Linked DNA regions of Xenopus tropicalis. The protein of the gene in region 1 interacts with the protein of each later gene in a pairwise test. Links are inferred from orthologs where the notes say so. Each region holds a gene or a part of one and is shown in the gene's direction. Other genes may lie near its edges.

Region 1 (5,201 bases):
TGACTTGTAGCTTCAGCAGGTCAAACCCATGTTGTGTGGTTTGTTTGGCTTCCCCATTATCTGCTCTTTGTATGAAAGATGCTCTGCCATATATAATAGGGTGACAACCCTGTGCCTCCTCTAAACGGGTGACATTTAATTGTTTTTATTATCACTGGTTGATCATTTGTACCACTATTCCATCTGCTGATCAAGATGTTGCCCTGCGCATGGTGCATCAGCAGACGAGCAAACTGGTGCTGGAAACACATATAAACTTATAGCTGCTCCATTCTAGAAAGTTAACCCCCCCCCGTAACAAATCTAGCTGCACATTAGCACTAAACGGAAGAGCGTCACAATAAAATGTACACTTTTTTATGCTATGAGAATAATTCTCCAGATTTTGAACAGAATAAAAAAAAAAATAGAATGTTGTGTTCTTTGGTCATCAAGGAGACTCATTGGAGACTCCCCTGCCCCCCTGAATTGGCTTCTGTGCCCACTCCCATATGAATCCCCACACCTGCCTGTTCTCTTACCTGAAAGCTGACGCGGAGCAGAGATTTATATGCAGTACTGGAGGAAGCAACCCCTGTGGTCCGGGCCCCCCTGTCCCCTGCCCCCCCCCCCATCCTGGTGACTGTGGGGTCTGCTTCCTCCATTCTTACGCCACTGTTAACTTTTAGTATGATGTAGAGAGTGACATGCTGAGACAATCTGCAGTTGGTCTTCATTTTTTATTATTGGTGGTTTCAATGCATTTAGCTTTTTGTTTAGCAGCTATTCAGTTTGGAATTTTAGCAGCTATCTGGTTGCTAAGTTTCAAATTACCCTAGCAACCAGGCAGTAGTTTGAGACTGGAATATGAATAGTAGAGTGGATGAATAGAAAGATAAGTAACCCCCGTTTGAAAGCTGCACAAAATGATACAAAAAATATAAAAAGACCATTGAAAAGTTGCTAAAAATTGGCCATCCCATGAAATTAATTTAAAGGTGAAACACATTTCCTGAAATTATTATAACAGAATGTTTAGAGCCAGTGTTGGAATGTTTTGAGTCTCTTGAATTCTATCCATGGAATGCAGTGAATGTGTTGGGTAAAATATCTTCCAATGCTTAGCATACTGACTGCCATTTTTATATTACACAAAGCATATAAACTGGTGATTCCCCAACACATAACCTTTAGTATTTCACAGAGCAATTTAATCTAAGCAATCTAAGCTTTATAGATGTTTTTCTTTCTTCTGAATAATTTACCTTTCTGTTTGCCTCCCTTCTGGAATTCCTTCTGCCAAACCACAAACAGGCCTGAAGCCTTTTCCTGGCATTTCATATTCATTAGTGGGAAAGAGGGAAAAAAAAGCACATTTAAAACCAAAACATATTATCATTTCCAAGTTGAATTCCAGTAAAAATAGGAATTGTTTTGTGTGTGTGACAAACTCCCAGGAATGAAATGACTCCTGCGCTTTCCTCAGTTTCCCACCTCTCAGCCACCTCTCCAATTCCTGGTTGGGCCTACTGCCTCCGTGCTATGGCTGCTTGTAAAGTTTCCGATTTCTCTGTGTCAGCCTTTGCCTCTCAGCTGTCCTGTCACCTCCACACTTGTCACTCCCTCTCCTCTGAGGAGCAGTTTGTTTCATTATCTGAGAGGAGTGAACGAAGGATCTCTGTGCCCCTCACCTAAGGTCTGAAAGTGCCTTCTGAAGACAAAATGTTCCAGTAGATCCCCATCTGAGAACTACAGGTGTGTAAGGTTTGTCTAGGCATTGTACGCCATTTCTGTTTGCCCTTTAATGCTTCTTTGTATTTCCTTTTAAATGATCTTTATGCCACATAAAACAAAATATCATGTACCTGCTTGGATTTCATTTTAGTTATCTTGTAAAGAAAATTCCACATACACAATGTTTCGGCCACATCAAGGTTGTTAATAAATATATTGATCTTTATCATTATTTATAGCAATGATATATTTTTGTGAGTTTAAATACAGTGGAACTGTAGTGTTTCAGCTGAGGCAGAAGCGCAGGGATTCTGATAGTTGTAGTTCAGCAAGAATTATGGGGGAAAGGGGGCAAGATGCCTATTCCTGAAATAGGCACATTACCTTGGTTTCATTTGCTTTTCTGACTATAGCAAGTCACTAACAAATGCTTAACACAAATTGTAAGCTCTTTAGACAAAGATTTATTGCTTTACAGGGGATGCAATCATTATAGTGTTTGTTCTAATACTTTAGATCACTGTATAGGGATTTCTTGTGACAGTGATTTATTTCAGTTTTAGAAATATTTTATTTATCTTTATGTTTGCATTTAATGTCTATATCCTGTTACTTCTGCCTTATGGCTGAGATTCTAGCTATCCTTATAAAATAACATTTGGTTATAAGAGTCATGGAGCACCGGTCCGGAACCCACTGTTTCCATCACTGCAGCCTTTACAGTCCTTAAATGGATACACGGAATGCTGGAAAACTAAGCTTAGGCAGCGCAAACCAAAACACTGTTGCAATTTGATTTTATATCATAAGTAAAAGAAAATCGAACAGATCTTGTTTCTTTAAGTCTTGCCTAGTAGTTAAAACATTTTTCAAACATTCTACTGCTTATTCATTCCCCCCGACATTATAATCTGATAATTTTTTTCATGCTGTGAAACAAGTTGGCTGCCATACATTTTAGAGAACCAATAAAATAGCTTATAGGCATATCTTATCTAATCGACTCATTTTCAAAACCCACTGTGATCACCCATCTTTCCTCCCAGTGTGTAAGCAATAAACTTTAGTGGGTGTGTCAGTGGCACTTTGCCAAACATCCGCTTACATTCCTGCCAATGCTGATTAAAAATGGGGATATTTGTGGCCATGTTTCCACTCCACAAGACCACACCCAAACCTGCCCATAACTCCACCCACTTTTCAGTAAGCCTGCGACCATTTCATAACCCAAAACATGAGACTGCCCTAGCTAAAATGGAATGGTTAGTGGCCAAAAAAATTGTCTTCTCTTGTCTTTAACTTTTATTTATTCTAGGATAATTCCATACTAGATATGTTAGGGGATCTAATGTAATTTAATCTCTTTACCTCTTGTTTGGTCCTAATAGCTGCCTCCTGGGGCTGTAAGGTAGTGTGAAACACACACATCACTCAGGTGCTGCCAAAGACTCCCCAATAAGAAACACCAGTATGTTCTTCCATTCAGTAGCAGCCTTTATACATGTACAGTATGTGTGTGAGTATGAGTGCCAGCATCTACATCTACTTCCATCCAAATATTTTGGAAGGTGCTTTCTCTTTACAACAAGATGCAAACTGCCTGTGTCACATTCACTGTTTCTGTCCTGTCTTTGGACACATAAGCTGTTAATTTTAACCCCTCGCATCTACAAAAAGTATACAGTCAGCTGCCAAGCCTTTAGAATTTGTGTGGGATGATGTCCCATCAGAGCGCTCAGACAGAGTACAGCTGTTATCAGCCATCAAACATGGCTTTTAATATCTCCAGGGCTTCAGTTACACTGCTTACGAAAATAGTTTGTCCACAAAACCCCAAGCACTGTCTGTGGTTAATATACCGAAAGCTTCAGGCGTCTATGGTTTTCTGCTTGCTGTATTTGCGTAATTATACTGCATGCATTCAAACAATGGTATTTAAACAATGTGTAGGTGGCATATAGGAATACAGCTGGTAGGGAGTATGGCGCCAACAGCTCTAGAACACCCTTGTGATGAAAGAATTTTCATAGTTCCAGAACGTTCAGTGAACTAGTGGTTCTCTGTACAAAATACGATGATGAAAGAATTTTCATAGTTCCAGAACATTCTGTGAACTAGCGGTTCCCTGTACAAAATATGAGATGAAAGAATTTTCATAGTTCCAGAACATTCTGTGAACTAGCGGTTCCCTGTACAAAATATGAGATGAAAGAATTTTCATAGTTCCAAAACATTCAGTGAACTAGCAGTTTTCGGTACGAAATACAATGTTCTGTTGCTTCATTAGATTACACATGGCACCCATAGGGATCCTCAAAGAAAGCATTTACTGACTGGATCAGATGTCGGATACAGGTATGAGATCTGTTATCTGGAAACCATTTATTTAGAAAGCTCCAAATAATGGAAGGGGACATCTCCCATAGACTCAATTTTACCCATATAATTTTATTTTTTTTTCTCTGTAATTATGAAACAGTGCCTTGTACTTGATGGTAGCTAAGCTGTGAATCCATATTGGTGGTAAAACCATCCATTGGGTTTGTTTAACGGTTTAATTATTTTTTTTTTTGTGGACTTAAAGTATGAAGATCCAAATTATAGATCCATATAGATTGTAAGCTCTACGGGGCAGGGACCTCCTTCATCTTGTGTTTCTGACTCTTATTCCAACTGCACCTTGTATTTATTGTTGTACTTTGTATTTATCCATTATCTTTTGTATTTATCCATTATCTTTAACCCCCTGTCTGTATTAATGAATTCTACTGTACAGCGCTGCGTACATAAGTAGCGCTTTATAAATAAAGATATACATACATACATTATGGAAAGAACCCTGAGCCTTCTGGAAAACAGGTCCCATACCTTGAACACACAGATATAATGCTAGTTAGCACAATCCTGTATTTTAGCCTCATGTATTTGGATTACTCTGTAGGCTACTGTATCTAGATAGCAGCCAAAATAAACTTATGGTAAGTCAGTATTTATGAATCAACCATTTTTATGGCAGTGTACAAAGGGGGCGAAAAATTAATAGAGGCTGAATCCTGCCTTTTTGAAGCTCAGCTGTTCTGTGACAAAGCTGGCGGCTCCAGAAAAAGGTTGTCATTACATTCTGACTCAGAGAGGCATGGGATTGATCTCTGCATTCGTTACATTCTTTTGTTCTTCAGAATTTAGAACCTTTGTAACCTTCTGGCACCCTACTTCCACTGTATGCTCTATGGAGCAGAGACTCACATACCTGTAGATACTGGAAATGTCTAAAACAAGAGAAAAACTTGTAGCTTCCCTAGTGAAATCCACTCTGCTGAAGCCACAAATCAAGAGAAGTATCTGTATTCTGCTGCAATAACTTCTACATGACTATGATGGAGCAAACTTACTGCCCATAGCAGTCTTCTCCTTTACAAGCCACGTGGGGGAGGATTAAGCCCGTAGAACCAAGCTGTGGTCCTGGCAATCTCTCTCTATAAAAGCAG
Region 2 (5,254 bases), on another chromosome or scaffold:
GTGCAAAACTATAAGTTCCATGCAGGATGCTGCCGCTTTGCAGAGCTGACAAAGCTGGAAAACTGGGCAGCAAATAAGGTTTAATGTTGAAAACTGCAAAGTTATGCACTTGGGTAGAAATAATATAATAATGTAATAATATTACACACTAAATAGTAGTGTGTTGTGGGGATCCTTAATAAAGAAGTATCTGGTTTTTTTTGTAGATAACAAGTTGTCTAATTCTAGGCAGTGTCATTCTGTGGCTACAATAAAGTGCTTAAAAAAAGGGCATTGACTCAAGGGATGAAAACATAATTTTGCCCCTTTATAGGTCCCTGGTAAGGCCTCACCCTGAGTATGCAGTGCAGTTTTGGGCTCCAGTCCTTAAGAAGGATATTAATGAGCTGGAGAAAGTGCAGAGACTGCAACTAAACTGGTAAAGGGGATGGAAGGGTTAAACTATGGGGTTAGACTGTCAGGGTTGGGGTTGTTTTCTCTGGAAAAGAGGCGCTTGCGAGGGGACATGATTACTCTGTACAAGTACATTAGAGGGGAATATAGGCAGATGGGGGGGTTCTTTTTTTCCCATAAAAACAACCACCACACCAGAGGCCCCCCCTTAGGAACGGAGCTTCCATTTGAAGCAGCGTAGGGGGTTCCTCACGCCCCGGGGAGGGCAGTGAGGTTGGGGAATGCCCTTCCTAGTGATGTGGTAATGGCAGACTCTGTTAATGCCTATAAGAGGGGCCTGGATGAGTTCTTGAACAAGCAGAATATCCAAGGCTATTGTGATACTAATATCTACAGTTAGTATTGATGTTGGTATATATAGTTTAGGTATGTTAGTTTGGTATATAGCCTATATATGTGGCTGGGGTTCGCCTGGAGCCCATTCATGTAACTAAAGGACAGCCTGCACTGGTGCATTTGGGCACCTTCCTAGCAGGACATTAGTTAGTCAGCTCAGAAGCTCTGTCCTAGGGCTGAATATGCAGGAGGAGTCTCCATAAAGCGCAGCACAGTCCTCTCTGCTCCCCATGTGGATTATACCAATGTGCTGACAGCTGGGGGGGGCAGCTACATGACGCGAAACTAAAACATTTACCCTGGGAAATGTATTTTCACAGAAAAACATTGAGTAAATTTACTTATAGACTTTACATTTCCTTTATCAGGTACCGCGCTGGGAGAGATATTTCAGCAACAGCAGATGGGAATCCCATGCTAAATATTATTCCTTTATCCTTCTGCCCTACAAGCCCCTTACTTTCTCCCGCTGCTCACCTTGCCGTTTGTCGGCGGCTCCTGAATGTAAATATTGCTCATTGTTACTCAGCTTCTTGCAAACAAACTCCAGCGTGCAACCTGACAGGACGGGACCGCCCACATACAGCCTCAGAGGGGTGCCAGAGAAGATTCTGATTTAAAAATGACACAGCAAAGAGCGTTAACAGGACTCGTCCCATCCACAGTTATATAGTAGCTCGTATTTTGTTACCCGAATGCTCCAAGATCACAGCGTCTACAGCAGAGGATGATTACACCAGAGTTGCATTGCTTTAGTTCCCCCCTTTCTCTTAGTGTGGCCGAAAGTACACTTCCCGGAAACCAGAGCTTTCATTTGCGTTCCACTGCGCACCGCTTATTCTGTTCCGCTGAGAAACAAGTCCATGCTGTGATTGAGTTCCGAGGAAGTGAATTGGTTAGGAGGCGCGCAGTAACTGTTTGAGGGGTGCGATCTTCTGTGTACGGACGCTGAGAATTGTGACTTATGGCTGTCCCAGGTTAGTCTGATTTATAAATCACGTTTTTTACCTCACCTGATCCATCTGATTTTGATAGAGAGGACTTTTATAATACAGGCTCGAGTCTGAACTCGACATGTGTAAAGTCTCTGCAAAGTGCATTATGTTGTACTGTACACTGTACGCACACAACCCAACTCCCCAACCCAATTAGTTTTATCCCCCGCTATTTTATGCCCGAGTCCCCAAAATACGTAGGACATCATTTTTTTCTGCTTTTGAAGGGGTGGTTCACCTTCAGTTAAACTTTAAGTATGTTATAGAATAGCCTGTTTTGAGCAACTTTTCAACTAGTCTTCATTTTATATTTTCGGTTGTTTCTGCCTTTGTCTTCAGGCTCTTAAGGTCCCCATACACGGGCCGATAGAAGCTGCCGATATTGGTCCCTTGGACCGACTCGGCAGCTTATCGGCCCGTGCAGGGGCAGAAACGATCGGACTGGCCGACCGATATCTGGCCTGAAATTGGCCAGATATCGGTCGGCCAGGTTAGAAAATCCTGTCAGACCGGGGACCGCATCGGCTCGTTGATGTGGTCCCCGAACCGACTGCCCCATTGCTGCTTGCAGAATTCGATCGTTTGGCCCCAGGGCCAAACGATCGAATTCACCGAAATTCCTCCCCGATATCGCCACCCGTAGGTGGTGATATCGGGTGAAGATCCGCTCGCTTGGCGACATCGCCAAGCGAGCGGATCTGCCCGTGTATGGCCAGCTTTAGGCTAAGAACCCACCGAGCGAGTTACTTGCCCACAATATCGCATGCGAGTAGCTGCTCCAAAAAGGACTACTCACGCAGAGTTGCCTGCAGGAGGAAACTTTGTGCAACTTCGGAACACGAAACGATACAAAGGGCTTTCCACCAGCGACTTCTATTGTTACCTGTGGAAAGCCTTTTCGAAGCAGTTACTCACATGTGATAGATCTCTCCTAACTCACTCAGTGGGTTTGTACCCTTAGGGCTCTAGTACATGGGGAGATTAGTCGCCCGCGACAAATCTCCCGTGTTGCGGGCGACTAATCTCCCCATGTACCAGAGCCCTTAGGGTGAAGACACATGGAGCTAATAGTAGCTGCTACTTGTAGTAGACAATGCTGATCATTTACTGATAACAGCAGGGCTGTGGAGTCGGAGTCGAGGAGTCGGAGGCAATTTTGGGTACCTGGAGTCGGAGTCGGCAAAAAATGAACCGACTCCGACTCCTACTAAATTTAAATGGGAATAAAAAAAAAAAAATAAAGCAAGTTTAAATGTCCCAATTCACAAACAGTCATAATTAATTACTTCTCTGCTATAAGAATAAAGCCCAATGCACGCAGTGCATAAACTAACACGTTGAGTGACCATGAAGCATGCTTTTCACTGACTGTATGAATGTATAAAATACATTCGCATATTAAAAACAGAGGAGTCGGAAGTATCAGAAACTGAGGAGTCGGAGAATTTTTCTACCGACTCCACAGCCCTGGATAACAGTCTCAACATGTTTTTTAGCAGAGGCAATTCTCAGTATTGTCTATGGCAGGGGATTTTCTGGCATTTAGTAGCTGTAAAAAAGTAGCTGCTACTAGTAGCTCCGTGTGACTTCAACAGTTTTTAAATGGGACCAAAAATCCCCCACTGCTTATATCTTAGTTGGGATCAAGAACAAGGTACTGTTTTATTTATACAGAGAAAAAGGAAATAATTTTTAAAAATGTGAATTATTTGATTAAAATGGAGTCTATGGGAGATGACCTTTCCGTAATTCGGAACTTTCTGGATAATGGGTTTCCAGATAAGGGATCCCATACCTGTACCTTTATTGGCTAGAAAAAAGGAACTAAAATGTTCTGGAAGCTTGCTATGATTATCTTAGTTAGCCAATAAAGGTATCACCTTTATACCACTTTTGTTATTTTTTATTTCAAAAGGGTTACCCTGTAAACATGATGGGTGTTATGAACAGGTTTTAACATGCTGTGTGCATGACTGGTCTAACTCTCAGCACCTTTCTGCCACAGGCATATTTGATTGTATTCACTTTTAATAAAAGTGGTTATTAGTAGCAAGTGTCCCCCAGATATAAGCATGTCATTCTATTAGTGATTCATGAGTCATTTGTGAGTGTAAGGAGGGCACTATGGTCCCGCCCTGAATATGGATACTTCATACCAGTATGATGCTGTGTGCACCATAGGTCTAAAGAGAAAATGCTGTCAACAGTGAAAATGGGTCACTTATGCTGTGCCTTTCGATAGTGCTGCATGCTGTGTAAAGTAGTGTGGTCTGGTTAAAACTCATTAAATTTACGCTTTAAAAAAAGTAACCTTTTTATTTCCATGACTGGAGAGGCCTTTGATAAAACTTGTCAGAAAGGAAAGGGTTGCCAAATGTAAACTTTTATATCCTCCTCAACCAAATAGAGAACTCTGTCTAAAGCATTTGCTGTATATTCTGTTTCAGTCGTCTGTTAACTTTGGGCTCTAAAGGACCTGAACAGAAATGATTTTCCTTTTTAAAGGACAATACTTGGATCTGGCTATGGCTTTAGCAAGGGCCCTGGCCAACAGTGTAGAGCAGCGTTTTTCAACCACTGTTGCCTGGTGTGCCGTAGGCAGGGCACCAATGTACTAGGGGGGCACTGCTCTTGGCACCAATGTGCTAGGGGGGCACTGCTCTTGGCACCAATGTACTAGGGGGGCACTGCTCTTGGCACCAATGTACTAGGGGGGCACTGCTCTTGGCACCAATGTACTAGGGGGGCACTGATGCTGGGCACCAATGTACTAGGGGGGCACTGCTCTTGGCACCAATGTACTAGGGGGCACTGCTGCTGGGCACCAATGTACTAGGGGGGCACTGCTGCTGGGCACAGAGTTAAATTTTTTAACATTTTCTAATGGTGGTGTGCCTCGTGATTTTTTTCATGAAACAAGTGTGCCTTTGCCCAAAAAAGGTTGAAAAACACTGGTGTAGAGAACAATGTCACAGCCTCCTTCTGCCTCTCTTGATTTTATTTGCATTTCATTTGAAAGCAGCAATCTCCTGACAAGTGCTCTCATCTGCCTTTCATACTTCTGATTATTGTGCTGCGCTCATAGTGCAATTGGTGCAGAATTCAGGTTTCTTAGCGGTGCACTGCTGGCTAATGATTCTGAAGTATAAGGAGATTTCTTATGGTCAAAGAAAATCAGAAGGAAATCAGTAGAGGTGCAGCATGCAGTGGGCTCAAAAGATAGAGCCTGTAGTACGGGGTGGAGATATGTGTTTACGAAAAGTCAAATCCAAATTAGTTTACAGTTGGGGTAGTGGTTGAAAGATTATTGAGGGGAAAGCCCTTTGAAAGAGGATAGAGGGTCTCTTAGTCAAGGTGACATAAGCAGAAGGGGTTCTCGCTCTCCTTCCTTTACTGTCTTGTCCTTTATTAAGAGTATACATGGGCCAATAAAAGCTGCTGATTTGGTCCGTATGGACCTTACAGCAGGG
Region 3 (5,050 bases), on another chromosome or scaffold:
GGAAATTCAAAAGAGACTTGAACATGTAAAGGTAAACAAAGGTCCAGGACCGGATGGGATTCATCCCAGGGTATTAAATGAGCTGAGCGCTGTGATTGCCAAGCCTCTTCACATAATTTTTCAGGATTCGTTGAGGTTTGGCATGGTGCCGAGAGACTGGCGGATTGCTAATGTGGTGCCGTTATTTAAAAAGGGATCTCGTTCTCAGCCTGAAAACTATAGGCCTGTTAGTCTGACATCAGTAGTAGGAAAGCTTCTGGAAGGGGTAATAAGGGATAGGATAGTTGAATACATTGCAGTTCACAATACTATTAGTTTGTGCCAGCATGGTTTTATGCGTAACAGATCTTGCCAGACTAATTTAGTTGCCTTTTATGAGGAGGTGAGCAGGAACCTTGATGCTGGAATGGCAGTTGATGTCATCTACTTAGATTTTGCTAAAGCGTTTGATACAGTACCGCACAGAAGGTTAATGATCAAATTGAGGAATATTGGCCTAGAACATAATATTTGTAATTGGATAGAAAACTGGCTGAAGGATAGAGTACAAAGAGTGGTGGTAAATGGAACATTTTCTAATTGGGCCAGTGTGGTTAGTGGAGTACCGCAGGGGTCAGTCCTTGGTCCTTTGCTTTTTAACTTGTTTATTAATGACCTGGAGGTGGGCATAGAGAGTACTGTTTCTATTTTTGCTGATGACACTAAATTGTGCAAAACTATAAGTTCCATGCAGGATGCTGCCGCTTTGCAGAGCGATTTGACAAAATTGGAAAACTGGGCAGCAAACTGGAAAATGAGGTTCAATGTTGACAAGTGCAAAGTTATGCACTTTGGTAGGAATAATATAAACGCAAACTATCTACTGAATGGTAGTGTGTTGGGGGCATCCTTAATGGAGAAGGATCTAGGGGTTTTTGTAGATCACAAGTTGTCTAATTCCAGGCAGTGTCATTCTGTGGCTACTACAGCAAATAAAGTGCTGTCTTGTATAAAAAAGGGCATTGACTCAAGGGATGAGAACATATTTTTGCCGCTTTATAGGTCCCTGGTAAGGCCTCACCTTGAGTATGCAGTGCAGTTTTGGGCTCCAGTCCTTAAGAAGGATATTAATGAGCTGGAGAGAGTGCAGAGACGTGCAACTAAACTGGTAAAGGGGATGGAAGATTTAAGCTATGAGGTTAGACTGTCGAGGTTGGGGTTGTTTTCTCTGGAAAAGAGGCGCTTGCGAGGGGACATGATTACTCTGTACAAGTACATTAGAGGGGATTATAGGCAGTTGGGGGATGTTCTTTTTTCCCATAAAAACAATCAGCGCACCAGAGGTCACCCCTATAGATTAGAGGAACAGAGCTTCCATTTGAAGCAGCGTAGGTGGTTTTTCACGGTGAGGGCAGTGAGGCTGTGGAATGCCCTTCCTAGTGATGTGGTAATGGCAGACTCTGTTAATGCCTTTAAGAGGGGCCTGGATGAGTTTTTGAACAAGCAGAATATCCAAGGCTATTGTGATACTAATATCTACAGTTAGTATTACTGGTTGTATATATATAGTTTATGTATGTGAGTGTATAGATTGGTTAGTATAGGTTGTGTGCTGGGTTTACTCGGATGGGTTGAACTTGATGGACAATGGTCTTTTTTCAACCCTATGTAACTATGTAACTAACTATGTAACTATGAATAGTAACAAACAGCTAAAGGAACTACATTACCCAGCATGTAATAGGAAACTCAGCAGTAAACAAAAAAAGGAAAGGAGGTCCAGCAGAAGCTAAGATTAGATTGTCACGCTTGAAGCTTGCATCTCTTTTTTAGAATTTGGCAGGTTTTTACATGAGCAAGATCAGAAGAAGGTTGACCTTACTGACGACCCGTAGTAAGGAAGTGCTCGGAGACTGGAGAAATGGGTGCAGTAAATCAGCAGAGGGCGGAGCAAGTGACGGAGCTGTATTTAATTATTGAGAACGATGTCTTTAGAGAGGCTGTTTGAATGACTCTTCCTGAGTATAATAGTGGTGGACTCTGGATAATTTATCATTACTGCACCATTGGTATCTCTTTTTAGACTTGCAGACATAACATTCACAACATTGCGGAGGGGGCGTGGAGAGATGGATACAGCGTCACATCTTTAACACTGTGCTGCTACGGATCTTCATTTTGATCTGTGGTATATAACATATCCGTGGGCTTTTTGGTGCGGTGACTGTTCTTTTAAGCATGAGCTTTTATAACCTGCGCTGGGTTATTATTATAAATATTTGAAGGTGGGGTGTGGAATTTGTGACAGGTTCTATTCCCTACGGTTGGTGTGATAATCCCATTGCGGGTTAGTGTCGTGCACCTGCGCTAACTAAAATACTTGTGGACGGCTATTCCAGCTTTAATTATTTTATTGAGAATCATAATTAAGATTTCTTGTAGTAGCTGGAATTTCAGCAATGAACGGGACTCCACCCCCACCGCCGCTGGACCGAGAGGAGCACATCCTTCGCCTCGGTGAGAGTTTCGAAAAGAGGCCCCGCTCTTCTTTCCACACAGTGCGCTGTGAGTACAATGACATCACACAACTACACCTGTATGGGGCGGGGCTTATTTGTGGCTTCACGTCTGTGGAAAGGGGTTAAAGATGATTGGGAGACCTTTATTCTAAATTTTATGTCTTGCTGCCCTTAAACTTACAGTGTGTAGGTTCAATAACAGATAAATATGTTATATTTGAAAAGAAGCAAAGAAGCACATTTGTCAAAGTGCAAATCCCATAAATCTTTATAATTTTATGGACTGATGACAGATATCACGTGTTTACAGTTCCAATAATGCACATGAAGGGCAGCCATACAGGCTATCGCCTTGCAAAGTTTATTAATCACATAACATCATAACATAAGTTTTGAGGGCAACCCTATTGTCAGGTGAAATATATATCTTTTTGTTGTATTTCACTTGATGAAGGGGGCTGCACTGAAATTTTTTTTTTTTTGTGATGAAAAACTGGTTTTAAGGCAAAATCACACAAAGAAAATCCTGTGTGTTGTCACTGGATAAAGTCTGGCTTATAACAGCCAAGCATAGTACTGCGCAGGCAGCTACGTGGTGCTGAAGTTTATTACTGTTCATTAAATACAATGACAATAGTGCATGTTTTGTGTTCACAGTAAACCAAACCTACATGCAAGAAAAAAAATAGGCTGTATTTTTCATGATTTTCTTCTGTAATACTGATATACAAATGTTCTAAATGTGAATTACACTCTAGTAGGTAATTTGTTTTCTTTTACACATGACTGGAAATGAGGGCATTATTCACTAATCTTCTTTATATTCAACGCTATTAAATACCTTATGTTCTTTTTAGATGATTTCAAGCCAGCATCCATAGACACTTCTTGTGAGGGGGAACTTCAGGTTGGCAAAGGAGATGAAGTAACAATAACCTTGCCACATATTCCTGTAAGTCCTGTCGTACACTGAAAAAGCATCTGAAAACATGTGGTGTGAAACTTTCAGTTAGACTGTACAGAATAAGTGCATATGGTATGCATGGAACATTCTTTTTCGGTATGAGGAGATTGGTTGCTTATTGTGGAAGCTACCTAATATGAAATCATGTAGCAGTCAGGGATATGAGGCATGTATTCATTTAACTACAGCTCTTAGAACAGCCATCACTATTGGAGCATCAGTAATTGGTGTGCTGACAATTCAAAACTATTAATGCCAAGCATGATGCAGGCCTCCATGCCCAGATCAGTCCTGTAAAAAAGTCTTAACATTTATCCAACAGTATACATTAAGGGGTATATTTATTAGTATGTAAGCCAACATCACCGGTGATGTTGCCCATAGCAACCAATTAGCAATTAGATTTGAACAGACAACTACATGTTAGCAACCAATTAGATCTTTGTTTTCTAACTTTTAGGTGTTCAGATCTAATTTGTGATTGGTTACTATGGGCAACATCCCCAGTAATATTGGCTCACACACTATATTAAATATGCCTCTCACTGTATTCTGTCTACATCTGTCCCTCACCATGGTCATCAGTAGATGGCTAGAAACATTGGTGTCATTCATGTAAAAAGTAGGTGATGAGCACAGTGATTACAAATAAAGGTTCATTTATATCCGCAAGTACAGCAGGCAACTTGCACTTTTTCCCACAGTCAGTTGAGGGTAAAGCCACTTTCATTTAAGGTACTTAAATGCACTTCTTGCTGCTCCCTATAGTTGTGCTCAGTGCCGCTCAGTCCATCCTGCCTTCAGTAACAAATCGTGCACTGCTGTGCATAGGCGGATTTTCAATAAGGCTAGGGGAGGCTAAGTCTCCCCAAACCTGCTCTGCACCTTTAAAATAGAAAAAAAAATCAATCAGTTTCTGCACTGCTCTGGAACATTGGGGAAATCTTCTTGCATTCCTCCTTCCTGCAAGCTCTGGTTCTGTTGTAATCAGCTGTGCTCTGATTGGATCTTCTTGTGGCTTCTCCAATCAGAGCACAGCTCTCTTGACAGACAGTAACATTGACCAATCAAGGTACAGATGTAGGCACTGCAGAAATGAAGACTGTTTAGATGAATCTGCAGGCTGTAACTTTACCTAAGAACCTCACCAATTCTTCATTCCACAGGTACTATACTTTATATCTTCTAAAGGCTGAATCAATAGCTGAAATGAAATAGTTTTTTGTCATCTGGCATCTGTAATTTTCCTAACCCCCCTACTCCAGTCCTAAATTAACTCTTTCCCCCTGAAAAAGCTCATTGTGCTTTAATATATTTGTTGTTGTTTTTTGCACTTACTTTTTCTCTTACTTTTGTTAGTGTTTTGTTCATTTCTCGTTAGTTACAGTGAAGCCGTCATGAGACTGCATAGCTGTGAAACAAACCAATGTTGTGTTTCAGTGCCAGTGTTATAGTGCCAGGGCCTGAATATCTGCCATCAATATCTGCCAACCAGAAGAAAATCCACTACTTCTCACATTAGCTTTAAATCAGTCTATGTATGGCCCATCTTTAGCCTCCCCAAACAAAAAAAGTCACCCTCCGCCTA
Region 4 (5,195 bases), on another chromosome or scaffold:
GCGAGTCGACCGATATCGCAGGAAGCTGCTGATATCGACCGACTCGCCGATCGGAACCAGTTTAAAAAATTTTGATCGGGCACCATAGAAGGCGCCTGACCAAAATCTCCCTTCAGCGCTGAATCGGCAGAAGGAGGTAGAAATCCCATTGTTTCTACCTCCTTACCTGCCGATTCAGCCCTGAAGGGTGTGTGGCGGATCTGACGATGTTTCGTGCGACCGATGGATTCTGGATAACAGGTACTATGCCTGTATAATTTACAGGATATTTATGACTAGTGTATTATGTAGTGAATAATGTACCCCCTATTGTAAAATCCAAGGATATTACAAGTCACCAAGGAGTTCCAGGTTATGAAACTCTGAAGTGCTTAGTGCTCAGTAATATTGCCCAGCTCAATATGGGCATATTGAGGAAATATTGTGCCAAACAAGTGAATCTTTATGTGCAAATCTTTACGTGTATGACCAGTTTTAAGGTGGCCATACACGGGACGATTAAGGTCGATTCGGCGCCTTATCTGCCCGTGTATGGCCTCCACCGACAGGCCTCCCTGGCCAACATCTGGAATGAAATTGCCCAGATCTCGATTGGGCAGGTTTAATTTCTCCATTGACTGCATCGGGTTGTTGATGCGGTACCCGAACCGAAAGCACCTGTGCCCACTGTTTAAATGAGATTTTTTGGCCCTAGGTGGGCCGGTAAGCGGCTCTTACAATGTATGGCCACCTTTACACAAACACAAAACCTTTGTGTCTTTGGGTATTGTTTTACTGATGCATGGCCCTGTTACTCCTTTCACTCCTTCCACAAACATTAATGTTACAGGAATATAAACAAAACTTAAAAGCATTAACCTCAACAAACACAAAATAGTAAAGGATAAAGCAAGTTCTCTGTATGCACTAAACCAGTAATCCCTAACCAGTGGCTCGTGAGCAACATGCTGCTCACCAACCCCTTTGATGTTGCTCCAAGTAGCCTCAAAGTAGGTGCCTATTTTTCATTTCTAGCTTAGAGGTAAGTTTTGGAAGCATGGAGGCGTAGTTTTACTCCAAGTAAAGCCTCCTGCAGGCTAGCAGTCCAAATGGGGCTACCAAATACCCAATCACAGTCCTTATTTGGCATCCCCAAAGATAATTTTTCATGCTTGTGTGGCTCACACAAAAAAAATACTTTTTATATTTGCTTGTAAAAAAGGTTGGGGATCCCTGCACTAAAATAAAAGTTTATTTGCCATTTGTTCTGGACTTGTTATTGTCCACATGTCCTTGGTCAGTGTTAGGCTCCTAACTGCCCTTGATCAATCCTGGTTGAGGTCTTGCCCGAGTTTTCCAGCTCTGCATCAAGGTCATTCATGCATTTTCTTGGATATGTATTCATCAAGTTCTTTGTCCAGCTATTTTATTGTTAAGGTTCTTTTGCTTTTTTGCCCCTGGACATTTTCTTAAGTTGCCAGACTGCTTGCATTCCTTTGGCATCATGAACAATGCACACTGTTCCCCTTTGTGGGCTTTGTTTTCCATTCTCTGTTACTTTCTTTTCAGTTCCTTCTCCAGGAAGATCTGTTTATATTCATATGGAAGCTGCATATTTCCCTTTTCTCTCCTGCAGTCTTATCCTACATTTCTGCATGATATCACAGATGGTCTTTTCTCCATCTGCTTTTTTGTGTTGTGGCAAAGTGTTACTGCTATTCTATATTGTCAGGCATTACTTGTACCTTCTTTTGCATTTTAATAAAACTCATACAAGAAAAACTCTGCTTTAATTTTAAACGTTGGTACAGGGCTGACATCAGTAACCATGGGGTTACATACTACTAAGTAGGCAGGGCCATTCCCCCATGGGGCACCAATTATTAGCCCACAAATCACCTGGGCCCCCATGTGATAGGCCCTTGCAAGCCACACTCCTTTTTTGACCTGCAGACTGCACCTTCCCTTCTCTTCCCTCTCTTCAGCCTACAGGTAACTTTCAGCAGAGCTAAGGACTAGATTTGTGGCAAGGCCAATGCGTTATCAGAGAATAACAGAAGCTTATCCTAGACTTTCCGGCAAACTGCAGGCTAAACTGGTTTCTGTACAGTTTCCCAGTATACATCTGAAAGATCAGTTAATTATTCACACAGGATTCAAGCAATATTTGTTCAGTCTTAAAGGGGGGGAGGAGGCAACCATAAGCACTTCTGAAACAAAATAGGCTTGACTAATTAGGCTACCAGTGGGCTCTTACACACAGGTATTTTTTCTGCATTTGACACGCAGGTTTGAGCACATCAGCTAACTGATTTCAGAGTTGCATTTCATTGCATTCATATTTCGTTGTGTGTTTTTAGATGCACAAGTAGAGCACAGGGTTCAAAAGTGCTCCCATTAGTGCTCATTTAAAAAGTACTTGTCTCCAGGGTCTGGTTACTCTCTGCATTTAGTACTAGATTGGAGATCAGGCTCTAGGTGCAGTGCTGGCAGACACAAGGTAGACCTGTGCTTACAGCCAGCCTCCATTGCTGCCAGATAGGGTTGCCACCTTTTGCAGTCGACAACACTGGCCTTTACAGATAAGGGTCTGTGCAGTGGTGGTGAGGGCAGAGCTAAGAGGGGAGGAGCTATGCACAAAAAGGGCAGGGCTGAGCAGACCAACTGGATTGGGTAGAGATTATGTGAGTAGGTTTAGAAAGCTGTTGGGAGTATGCTGAAGAGTAGGGAGAGTTATGGTGGCCATACATGGGCTGATTCTAGCTGCCGATATAGGTCCCTTAGACCGATTCAGCAGCTTATCGGCCCATGTAGGGGCAATAACAACGGGCCTGCCCGACTGACATCTAAGCAGAATCGGGCAGGTTGAAAAATTGAGTTGGATCGGGCACTACATCGGCTTGTTGATGCTGTCCCTGAACTAACTGTGGCTATTACCATTGTTCTAATTTGATCGTTTGGCCCCAGGGCCAAATTACCAAATTTGCCTAAATTCGCCCGATATCGCCCACATGCGCAGTGATCATTCAGTGACATCATGTGCATTGTGCGCATGTGCAATAATGGCACACACCCACACCAGATTGGTGGCACACTGCACATGCCATAACAATTTCCAGAGAGACATCTCCCAGGGATGACAGCTCTAACAGTGTAGTCTGCCATGTGGTACACAGAGACCTGTGGCAATTTAGAAAAGTGAAGGGTGCATGTGTGCAAAAACATACCTATTAAGTTCTTACTTATAATATAAAGCAAAGCATTTTCACTATCTCACAGAGCAACAAAATAAGAAAGAATGAAAATGTCATGGTACCCTGCAAAATATACACAAAATGCAAACATAAAAATATGTTCCATCCTCTTTGTACTATTTTGCATTATGTGTGGAATATGCCCTCATCAATCATGGCGCCGATCGCCCGCACGCAAATAACGCCTTTCCGTCACAGAGTCAGTCATTTCTTGCAGCGCGCAGTTTCCCGGCATGCAGTGGGTTGTCTATTGGCCTTATTCGACATGGCTACCCCCATGCACCGGCTGATCGCTCGTAGACAGGCGTAAGTAAAGCGATGGGCCCCGACGGGCTCAGGGTACATATATTATGAATATACCTAAATAAGGCTTTGGTACGGACGGGGGTATTGAAACTTTAAGACGTGCATAAAGGGGGCGGGGCAATGTTATGCCTAGATTGTGTCAGGATTTATTGGCTTCTTCAGTTGGAGATTGGAGGCTCTTTAGGTGGGAGGAGCATATGTACTGCCCGTGCTAGAGGTATACATAGCCGTATATGGCTAGAAGAGGGGCATAGTTGGGGGCGGTGGAATCGTGATACTTGGGTCATTTGGGCGCTTTGGTGAACTGCCACGTGAATTTGAAGAATAATAGCACAAATATTCACAGACGCAAACGTCCATTGCTTTTACAATAGGTAGAACTAAATGTAAAGATTGTAAAGGGAAGGTCTAAAACTCATAGGTGATAATGTAGTTTGGAATTTTTGGCAAAGGAAACTATACCCCAAGAATAAATACTAAACCAACACAGCAGTTTATATTGTGTTAAGTGACCTAGTAAAAAATTTTACCAAACTGGAATATATATATCAGTAAATATTGCCCCATTTGCTTCCTTTCCCTTGAGCCACCATTTAGTGATGGGCTATGCGCTCCCTCAGAGATCACAGAGAAATAATGCAGCTCTAACTGTAAAGGTGACCATACACGTAGCAATTCCAATCTTTCATGTGACCATTGGTTACACACAAGTGCGTTCCACCCTCCACTGATGTTCAGGGCTGAATCGTCCGATATGGAGGTAGAAACAATAGGAATTCTACCTCCACCTGGCGATTCAGCTCTAAAAGTAGATTTTGCTCGGCCGCCATTAAATCTTTTAACCTTTCAACGAGTCGCAGCCTTCTCCAATATCGGTCGCCTCTTTGAGCCGCCATACATGTACCAGATATCGTACGAAACAAGGTTTTGTACAATAATATTAGTGTGTGTATGGCCGGCTTAACAGGAAGAGGTGTTGAAGCAAAAGGCAGAACTCTGTCCTTTAATTGGCTGATGGGGCCTAGCATGTGTATGTGTGCCTTGGCTTGTTAGTGTGCACTGTGAATCCTATGATCCCAGAAGGAGGCCCTTAAAGGAACAGTAACACCAAAAAATGAAAGTGTATAAAAGTAGCTAAAATATAATGTGCTGCTGCCCTGCACTGGTAAAAGTTGGGTGTTTACTTCAGAAAGTCTACTATAATTTATATAAATAAGCTGCTATGTAGCCATGGAGGCAGCCATTCAAAGGAGAAAAGGCACATAGCAAAAGTGGGCTACATATATATTTATATATACAGGTATGGGATCCCTTAGCCGGAAACCCATTATCCAGAAAGTTCTGAATTACGGAAAGGCTGTCTCCCATAGACTCAATTACAAGAAAATAATTCCAATTTTTAAAAATGATTTCCTTTATTCCTGTATTAATAAAACAGTACCCTGTACTTGATCATAACTAATATATAATGACTCCTTATTGGAGGCAAAACAATCCTACTGGGTTTAAATGATTTTTTAATAGGGCATGGAGATCCAAATTATGGAAAGATCCCTTATCCGGCGTGCCTCCACCCAGAGTAGGGACAGATTGGACCGTAACTCCCCTCCCTGAGAACTTGATACTGTACTGTACTCTCTGGTCAGGACTCCCAGC
Region 5 (4,494 bases), on another chromosome or scaffold:
TCTCTGTGATCAGTGGGATGATATTGTAGAGGGGATTAAGGTAGAGAGTTTAAATACGGATGCTGTTCTTCCCAGTCGTGTCTATTGGATTTCTTCAGTTGTCAAGATAGCAGGTAGGACTGTAACTGCAACTGTCCATCTGTTTTTTTTTTTATATTTCTCTGTGGCCTGTGGAATTCTGCAAAAGAAAATAAATCAACTTCCGCATGGGGCAGATTCTCTTCTGATGTGTGCCATAGCCCGTCTAATATAAAAATATGCACCAGCCTTACTCCGATAATAATATATATAATATATACATAATGTACAAATTTTTTATATGATATATGTTCTTGCATGTACCTAAAACTGCAATGCTTATTCCTTTAGGTTACAAGGCTTTACTTCAGTATGAAGGTTTTGAAGAAGACTCGAGCCATAACTACTGGTGCAACTTGGGAACAGTGGAAATTCATCCCATTGGATGGTGTGCAGTAAACAGCAAAATATTGGTTCCACCCCAGTGTATGAAATATTTCACAGAATAAAAAAAAGTTTTGTGTGTGTTAGTATGGGTGTTTTCTAAAGACAGCTGTACTTCCAGTCATGTCTATGGAGAGAACTGAAAGGGTGAGGCAACAGATGTATATGAGGCTTCCTGAGCGGAGTTGTTAATCCTGAAATGTGTGCTTTTACCATGGTTCTTTTCGGTGAGGGCAGTGAGATTGTGGAATGCCCTGCGGATGATGCTGTGATGGCAGACTCTGGTAATGCCTTAGTGCCTAATAAGATTATCAGTACCCGTATATAAATGATCTGTATCTTCTAAAATACATTTTCACTATATGATATTACTGGTTCTTTATGCTGGTGGGCTTGGGGGTTTGGGTCTGTTATTGGTAATCATGGTCTCAACTTATTGTGGCCTTGGGCAAAACCTCTGTGCCCAGGATATCAAACTCATATTAGGCTATGTGGATACGTAACGGGGTTGTTTGTCTTTAAAATAATGTTTTGCATGATGTAGAGAGTGCTATTCTGTGATAATTGTTTTATTATTTGTGTTTGTTTAGTTATTTAGCTTTATATTCAGCTGGTTGCTGTGGTCTAAATTAACCTTACAGCCAGGCATTGATTTTAATGAGAGGCTGGAATTTGAATAGGAGATGGCCTTAATATAACGATAAGTACTTAATTGTAGCATTTTTTGCTGGGGTCGGTGACTCCCCCCCAATTGAAATCTGGTGAGAGTCAGAAGAAGAAAGCAAATAATTCAGAAACTATCTATAAAAAAAGAAAAAGTCCAATCAAAAAGTTATTTGAAAGTCAACCAGCCCCTTAATTAGTATCTTGTACAAAAGAAAATACCTATAACACATGGTATAGAAAGCAAAAAAGAGAACTTCAAATTACCCAGAAACTGAAGATGATTTTCACATGTTTTCTTACCTTGCAGCCATCCTTTCAAAGTTTACAGACTGGAGAGAATACCTTATGAAGAAATTGGTCGGCTCCCATACCATACCTGCGGATTTCCATGTCAAGGTTATCTAAACAGATGCAGAAATGTGTATTTGTCCCTTGTTTACATATATAGACTTGTGAAGAAGGAACAGAGGCATGTGTTTCTAAGATCCTTGGATAGCAAGTGGGACCAATAGGGTTGGACCACTAGGAGGGAGGTGTTTGGGGGCACCTTGATGATATAATGGTAAAGTCTGTAATTGCCCATTTACATTATGAATAATAATATAGATAAGAATGAGTCCATCTTGCCCCCGGATTAGGGATTGTATATTTCTCTGGGTCCTGGGAAGCTTTTACTGCTTTTCTTTCATTCTTTAGTCTCCGCCTTCTGTCTTTGGTATTAATTACTAATTCAGGAAAAATTATGTTCAGATGGCAGAGAGCTTCAGATGCCCATTCAGACAGGGCATGCGGTTGGAGGCTGTAGACAAGATGAAGATGTCACGAATGAGATCGGCAGTGGTGGATACAGTAATTGGAGGTCGAATGAGGCTTTTGTATGAGGATGGAGAAAAAAATGATGATTTCTGGTGCCACATGACCAGCCCTTTGATCCATCCTGTAGGATGGGCTCGTAAGGTTGGCCATAATATCAAACCTCCAGGTAATTTTTTTCTGTATATAGTTCCTAAATGTTGTATAGAAATATATCTATTGCATCCTTCCCAGCTAAGGTTTTTTGGTTCTTGGTTAATACAATACAGGCTTCTGTCCAGTCACTTTTTGAATTGTGTTGTGGAAGGGCAGAGGACTTAGATTTTGTAACTCACTATTGTATATCTTTCTTTAAGACCTGAAGCGATTTGAAATGTCCAGTCATCCCACTTTCCGCAAGGTATACTGTGATGCAGTGCCTCACCTCTTCAAACAAGTAAGAGTAACAGCCAATGAACAATAAGGGTAACCTTGTAGAGAAGGTGGTAGAATGCCAAGACATTTAATTTCCCAACATATAGGGGCAGATTTACTAATCCACGAACAGACCAAAAGCGTCCGAACGCGTTTTTTCGTAATGATCGGTATTTTCGCGACTTTTTAGTCGCCGTCGCGACTTTTTTGTATATTTTCCGCGACTTTTTCGTCGCCGTCACGAAAAAAATCGGATTGGGTTTTCCGGCGTTTAATATCGCGCAATACAAAAAAATCGAGACGGCGACGAAATAATCGCACAAAATACGATAAAGTCGCGACGGTGCCGAAAAAGTCGCGACAGATACGAAAAATCGCGAGGGCGACGAAAAAGTCGCAAAAAGTTTCCAATACAATTTTTTCCCTTTCGGGATTCGGATTCGTGGACTAGTAAATCTGCCCCATAGTATTTCTTTTTTTCCCTGCAGTCACCGCTTTATTAACCAAATGTATGGCTTGTATTGTGCATTATGTTTTTCTCAGTAGGGCCAGGTTAAGAGCTACAGGTGCCCAAGGTTCAGACGCTCCCATGTCTGCCCAACCTACTTGCCAACTGCTTGCATTCTCAGTGCTGCAGGCAGCAGATGCATGATACTAGGAGCCCCTTAGTTGCACCCTAGACACCTGCTTCTTCTGCCTCTGGCCCTGTTTCACAGCTACAATGTTAGTGGCAACAGAAATTCAACTTAAAAATTGAAGTTGTGTCTTGATCATCAATTGCTTAGACCGTTACTTCCAGCAGAAACTAAATTAACTTTAAATTAACTTCATTTTAATTTAATTTTTTTATTTTTTATTTTATTAATTTGTGTTTTTTCAGAATAGTACATTCTATGAAATAGTGAACCACCCCTTTAAAAAACTTTAATGTGGATGTTCAGTTTTCAAACAAAAATGAGGGGTACAAAAGGGTAGGGATGACCATCAGACAAATTTTGCCCATCAGACAAACCCAGTGACAAGTCAAGACAGCGAGTTAATTATTGTTAAGAATCTGGAAACCTATTGTGAAGGGGTTTTTTTTTTTTGTCTAGGCAGTAGTCTAGCATAGCATTCCTAAGCTTGTATGAGGGCTTTAGATTTTAAAAAAAGAGAGCCATGGCTCCCATATTTTCTAATATATGCTGCTTCTGTTATGTATAATGTGTGTAATCCTTTCTAGTTTTCTCATCTCTTCCACTAGGTGGCCATTCCATATACTTTTAATAGCATTTTCACATTATCTCCCACTACAACTGCTCTTTGCTGGTCCAGAAGTTGGCACATCCCGTTTAATTTCCCCCACCACTGAATGGTTTGGGAGCTTCCATTTGGATTAATTTTTATATATATTTTTTTTATGATTTGATGGTATGATTCAGCCAATTGGATCAATAGCAAGCAAATTAAAGGGACATACTGAATTGCTAAATGTACGCCTTTGCCATCCTGTTTGCAGGACATGAGGTCACAATCAGGGTGTTGGTGGCTCCCATCCTTAGTTGAAATTGGAGAAACTGACCAACAAAAAGTAGCTGCAATAGTAGAAAAGGCCTAAAGCAAAACTATACATCCAAACCCTGCTTCATGTAAATAAACTGTTTTCATAAAGATATGGCAGTATGTGCCACTGGAGAATCCTAAATAGAAGATTGCTCTTTTAAGTACTATGGACTGCCCCCAGGGATCATTAGATTCACAGTGCACACAAACAAACCAAGGCACACATACATGCTAGGTCACATCAGCCAATTAATAAGGACAGTTCTGTCTTTTACTCCCACACTACTTCCTGTTACAGCTGCATTATTTCCTGGCAGGTGGCAGCTCAAGGAAAAAGATTTAAAAGGGAAATATCTGTAGGTTAAGTATTCATTCTGGGGGTATAGTTTTCCTTTAACTTTTAAAAATGAAGATTAGTTAGAAAAATGTTTTTCATTACATGAGCTGTTCACATTCAGACAAACATTAGAATATTAACATCCCCTTTCATTAAAAAAAAAATGTGTGGTGTTACAGTGCAAGTTCTAAAAGTGTAAGAAGCCAGTTATATCTGCAAACGGAGACAAGTTTCTCTCTGTACTTTACTTTCCCCTCTTT
Region 6 (4,222 bases), on another chromosome or scaffold:
AGATGTTGTTGTCATTGCAGACACCTTGTCGCCCGCGTCGAGTCCGGCGTCCGTCACCTTCCCCGCGGCTCCGGGGGGCGCAGAGGACGTGTCTTGCAAGTCGCTGAACCTCGAGTGCCGAGTGTGCGGAGACAAGGCCTCCGGGTTCCACTATGGGGTTCACGCCTGCGAGGGGTGCAAGGTACGGACTACTCTTTATGCTCAACTTCCCCTTGAATCTGAGTCGGCAGCCATATTGTGTGTGGCCCCTCCCAGGGGCTTCCTCTATAGCCGCTCTACTCGCCAAGGTTATGCACGCCCCCTGCTTAATATTTGTAGAGTGGGAGGGGGCGGCGGCTAAGTACCTGCTACAGATTTTCTTGCAGGGGGGCCCATTGCATTCTGGGTACGCCACTGTGGTGCCCAGTCGGCTAAATACTCGTTATCGGGATAATTGGCGGTTTCTTATTCTTACGCATTCCTGTTGCCGACGGCTCAGACTTACTCACTTGTCTTATATGGATTCTCCCCTCTGTGTCCCCCCCCCGGCAGGGCTTCTTCCGGAGGACGATCCGCCTTAAACTGGCGTACGAGCGCTGTGAGCGAATGTGCAAGATACAGAAGAAGAACCGCAACAAGTGCCAATATTGCCGCTTCGAAAAGTGCCTTAATGTCGGAATGTCCCACAACGGTGAGTTCCCCCCCCTGGGTAAGTGAATCCAATCCCCCCCCAGTACTTACCCAGGTACAGAGCTCTGATTCTCTGTACTTCCTGCTCCTGGGCTGCTCTCTTTCCCATGGTCAGGCAGGAACCTCCCCCTGGGTAAGTGAATCCAATCTCCCCCCAGTACTTACCCAGGTACAGAGCTCTGATTCTCTGTACTTCCTGCTCCTGGGCTGCTCTCTTTCCCATGGTCAGGCAGGAACCCCCCCTGGGTAAGTGAATCCAATCTCCCCCCAGTACTTACCCAGGTACAGAGCTCTGATTCTCTGTACTTCCTGCTCCTGGGCTGCTCTCTTTCCCATGGTCAGGCAGGAACCTCCCCCTGGGTAAGTGAATCCAATCTCCCCCCAGTACTTACCCAGGTACAGAGCTCTGATTCTCTGTACTTCCTGCTCCTGGGCTGCTCTCTTTCCCATGGTCAGGCAGGAACCTCCCCCTGGGTAAGTGAATCCAATCCCCCCCCAGTACTTACCCCGGTACAGAGCTCTGATTCTCTGTACTTCCTGCTCCTGGGCTGCTCTCTTTCCCATGGTCAGGCAGGAACCTTCCCCTGGGTAAGTGAATCCAATCCCCCCCCAGTACTTACCCCGGTACATTCTCTCGTTCCCAGCGATACGATTCGGGAGGATGCCGCGGTCGGAAAAGGCGAAACTGAAGGCGGAAGTGCAGACGTGCGACCAGGACACTAAGGACGCACCAATGGGCGACCTCCTCTCTCTGGCGCGGCTCATTTACGACGCGTATCTGAAGAACTTCAACATGAACAAAGTGAAAGCCAGAGCCATCCTGACGGGCAAAGCCAGTAATCCGGTAAGTGCCCGACCAATCGAATTCCAGTTCGCTACATTGTTTCAGGAGTCGGAACACGTCCTGCTGATTTGAATCTGTCGAGTTCACTATACAAACATGGTGCAATCGCACGAGTACAGAGTCCAGCGCTCGCTCGTTATTAACACGGAGGTCAAACAGGTTGGTTAAACCCAATTATTTAGGATTTATGACGCCATCTGCTGGTTGGTTGTAGTATTACATGAACATTTTTTATAGGGCAATTATTGTAAAGGGGGGGTTGTTCCCCTTCAGATTAACTTTTAGGACGATGTAGAGAGTGCTATTCTGAGACAGTTTGCAGTTGGTCTTCATTTTTTACTATTTGCAGCTCTTCAGCAAACTGGTTGCTAGGGTCGAGAAATAAACAATGAAGACCAATTGAAAAGTTGCTGGGAATAGGCCATTCTGTAACATGCTATACTCATCTATTGGGCAGTTTTCCCATCAGCCCTTGTGCTATTGGGGCTAATATGGGTCACTGGGGAGAATCGGTTCTGACCATAGAGTTTGTCCGCAGCCGTTTGTTATACACGACATGGAGACGCTGTGCATGGCCGAGAAGACGTTAGTGGCCAAACTGGTGGCCAACGGCATCCAGAACAAGGAGGCGGAGGTGCGGATCTTCCATTGCTGCCAGTGCACGTCGGTAGAGACGGTAACGGAACTGACGGAGTTCGCCAAATCCATCCCCGGCTTCACCGAGCTGGACCTCAACGATCAAGTGACTTTGTTAAAGTACGGGGTCTACGAGGCCATGTTCGCCATGTTGGCGTCCGTCATGAACAAGGATGGGATGTTGGTGGCCTACGGCAACGGTTTCATCACGCGGGAATTCCTGAAGAGCCTGAGGAAGCCCATCGGGGACATGATGGAGCCCAAGTTTGAGTTTGCCATGAAGTTCAATGCCTTGGAGCTGGACGACAGCGACCTGTCTCTGTTTGTAGCGGCGCTCATTTGCTGTGGAGGTAAGTGAAGGGGTTAATGAGTGATTCATTGGGGGTGGGGAGGAAAGGAGATCTCACCATCAGCATAGGAAGGGGTTCCTTACTGTAAGGGCAGTCAGGTTATGGGGTTCCCTACCCAGAGAGGGGGAATGAGTGATACATTGGGGGTGGGGGGGAAAGGGGATCTCACCATCAGCATAGGAAGGGGTTCCTTACTGTAAGGGCAGTCAGTTTGTGGAATCCATAACTCTTGTTCCCTAACCCCGCCCCCCAGACCGCCCGGGATTGGTGAACGTTCCCAGCATAGAGAAGATGCAGGAGAGCATCGTCCACGTCCTGAAACTCCACCTCCAATCGAATCACCCTGACGACGGCTTCCTCTTCCCGAAGCTGCTGCAGAAGATGGCCGACCTGCGCCAGTTGGTGACGGAGCACGCGCAGCTGGTACAGACCATCAAGAAGACGGAGACGGACGCGGCGCTGCACCCGCTGCTGCAGGAAATCTACAGGGACATGTACTGAGCGCTCGGCCGCTTTCTCCTTTAAAGATTTTACTTTTTTTTTTTTAAAGATTTTTTTTATTTTTCCATATTTTTGGACGGGAGCAAAATCAGCAGAATTGGGGCTTATTTACTTGTGCCTTCTCCTCCAGCCATGGCAACGCTTCCTACAGCCTGCACTACAGTTCCTGGGGCGGGCTATCTGCCCGGGGGGGCGGGGGCAGACTATCTGCCCGGGGGGTGGGGCAGACTATCTGCCCGGGGGGGTGGGTCAGACTTACTGCCCTGGGACGGGGGTCAGACTATCTGCCCTGGGACGGGGGTCAGACTATCTGCCCTGGGACTGGGGTCAGACTATCTGCCCTGGGACGGGGGTCAGACTATCTGCCCTGGGACGGGGGTCAGACTATCTGCCCTGGGACGGGGGTCAGACTATCTGCCCTGGGACGGGGGTCAGACTAACTGCCCTGGGACGGGGGTCAGACTATCTGCCCTGGGACTGGGGTCAGACTATCTGCCCTGGGACTGGGGTCAGACTATCTGCCCTGGGACGGGGGTCAGACTATCTGCCCTGGGACTGGGGTCAGACTATCTGCCCTGGGACTGGGGTCAGACTATCTGCCCTGGGACGGGGGTCAGACTATCTGCCCTGGGACTGGGGTCAGACTATCTGCCCTGGGACGGGGGTCAGACTATCTGCCCTGGGACTGGGGTCAGACTATCTGCCCTGGGACTGGGGTCAGACTATCTGCCCTGGGACAGGGGTGAGACTATCTGCCCTGCCCTGGGACTGGGGTTAGACTATCTGCCCTGGGACTGGGGTTAGACTATCTGCCCTGGGACTGGGGTCAGACTATCTGCCCTGGGACTGGGGTCAGACTATCTGCCCTGGGACAGGGGTCAGACTATCTGCCCTGGGACTGGGGTCAGACTATCTGCCCTGGGACTGGGGTTAGACTATCTGCCCTGGGACAGGGGTCAGACTATCTGCCCTGGGACAGGGGTTAGACTATCTGCCCTGCCCTGGGACTGGGGTTAGACTATCTGCCCTGGGACTGGGGTTAGACTATCTGCCCTGGGACTGGGGTTAGACTATCTGCCCTGGGACTGGGGTTAGACTATCTGCCCTGGGACTGGGGTTAGACTATCTGCCCTGGGACTGGGGTTAGACTATCTGCCCTGGGACTGGGGTTAGACTATCTGCCCTGGGACGGGGGTCAGACTAACTGCCCTGGGACGGGGGT

What was found.
Region 2: the proteins of stac3 (region 1) and srek1ip1 interact in binary tests that used the Homo sapiens proteins (3 or more experiments, as listed by UniProt). The two-hybrid records come from large-scale screens. The link is inferred for Xenopus tropicalis from reciprocal best matches to the Homo sapiens genes STAC3 and SREK1IP1.
Region 3: the proteins of stac3 (region 1) and eaf1 interact in binary tests that used the Homo sapiens proteins (3 or more experiments, as listed by UniProt). The two-hybrid records come from large-scale screens. The link is inferred for Xenopus tropicalis from reciprocal best matches to the Homo sapiens genes STAC3 and EAF1.
Region 4: the proteins of stac3 (region 1) and zcchc10 interact in binary tests that used the Homo sapiens proteins (3 or more experiments, as listed by UniProt). The two-hybrid records come from large-scale screens. The link is inferred for Xenopus tropicalis from reciprocal best matches to the Homo sapiens genes STAC3 and ZCCHC10.
Region 5: the proteins of stac3 (region 1) and l3mbtl2 interact in binary tests that used the Homo sapiens proteins (3 or more experiments, as listed by UniProt). The two-hybrid records come from large-scale screens. The link is inferred for Xenopus tropicalis from reciprocal best matches to the Homo sapiens genes STAC3 and L3MBTL2.
Region 6: the proteins of stac3 (region 1) and ppara interact in a two-hybrid assay, tested with the Homo sapiens proteins (2 studies listed by BioGRID). The two-hybrid records come from large-scale screens. The link is inferred for Xenopus tropicalis from reciprocal best matches to the Homo sapiens genes STAC3 and PPARA.

Annotation. Positions count from the first base shown.
Region 1 is NC_030678.2:140,076,078-140,081,278, reverse strand, and holds the start of stac3 (SH3 and cysteine-rich domain-containing protein 3), read left to right. Parts: upstream 1-1,635; 5' UTR 1,636-1,743; intron 1,744-5,201. UniProt on the Homo sapiens protein: Required for normal excitation-contraction coupling in skeletal muscle and for normal muscle contraction in response to membrane depolarization. Required for normal Ca(2+) release from the sarcplasmic reticulum, which ultimately leads to muscle contraction.
Region 2 is NC_030677.2:188,227,621-188,232,874, forward strand, and holds the start of srek1ip1 (protein SREK1IP1), read left to right. Parts: upstream 1-1,682; 5' UTR 1,683-1,753; coding exon 1,754-1,766; intron 1,767-5,254. Other genes in the region: spliceosome-associated protein CWC27 homolog, read right to left, coding at 1,267-1,308. UniProt on the Homo sapiens protein: Possible splicing regulator involved in the control of cellular survival.
Region 3 is NC_030682.2:51,500,445-51,505,494, reverse strand, and holds the start of eaf1 (ELL-associated factor 1), read left to right. Parts: upstream 1-2,022; 5' UTR 2,023-2,438; coding exon 2,439-2,544; intron 2,545-3,355; coding exon 3,356-3,450; intron 3,451-5,050. UniProt on the Homo sapiens protein: Acts as a transcriptional transactivator of ELL and ELL2 elongation activities.
Region 4 is NC_030679.2:37,640,106-37,645,300, forward strand, and holds the start of zcchc10 (zinc finger CCHC domain-containing protein 10), read left to right. Parts: upstream 1-1,893; 5' UTR 1,894-1,971; intron 1,972-3,482; exon of another isoform or gene 3,483-3,498; coding exon of another isoform or gene 3,499-3,539; intron 3,540-5,195.
Region 5 is NC_030680.2:116,007,133-116,011,626, reverse strand, and holds part of l3mbtl2 (lethal(3)malignant brain tumor-like protein 2), read left to right. Parts: coding exon 1-113; intron 114-369; coding exon 370-504; intron 505-1,435; coding exon 1,436-1,524; intron 1,525-1,878; coding exon 1,879-2,110; intron 2,111-2,297; coding exon 2,298-2,377; intron 2,378-4,494. UniProt on the Homo sapiens protein: Putative Polycomb group (PcG) protein. PcG proteins maintain the transcriptionally repressive state of genes, probably via a modification of chromatin, rendering it heritably changed in its expressibility.
Region 6 is NC_030679.2:3,236,213-3,240,434, forward strand, and holds the end of ppara (peroxisome proliferator-activated receptor alpha), read left to right. Parts: intron 1-20; coding exon 21-181; intron 182-531; coding exon 532-670; intron 671-1,313; coding exon 1,314-1,513; intron 1,514-2,051; coding exon 2,052-2,499; intron 2,500-2,752; coding exon 2,753-3,000; 3' UTR 3,001-3,206; downstream 3,207-4,222. UniProt on the Homo sapiens protein: Ligand-activated transcription factor. Key regulator of lipid metabolism. Activated by the endogenous ligand 1-palmitoyl-2-oleoyl-sn-glycerol-3-phosphocholine (16:0/18:1-GPC). Activated by oleylethanolamide, a naturally occurring lipid that regulates satiety.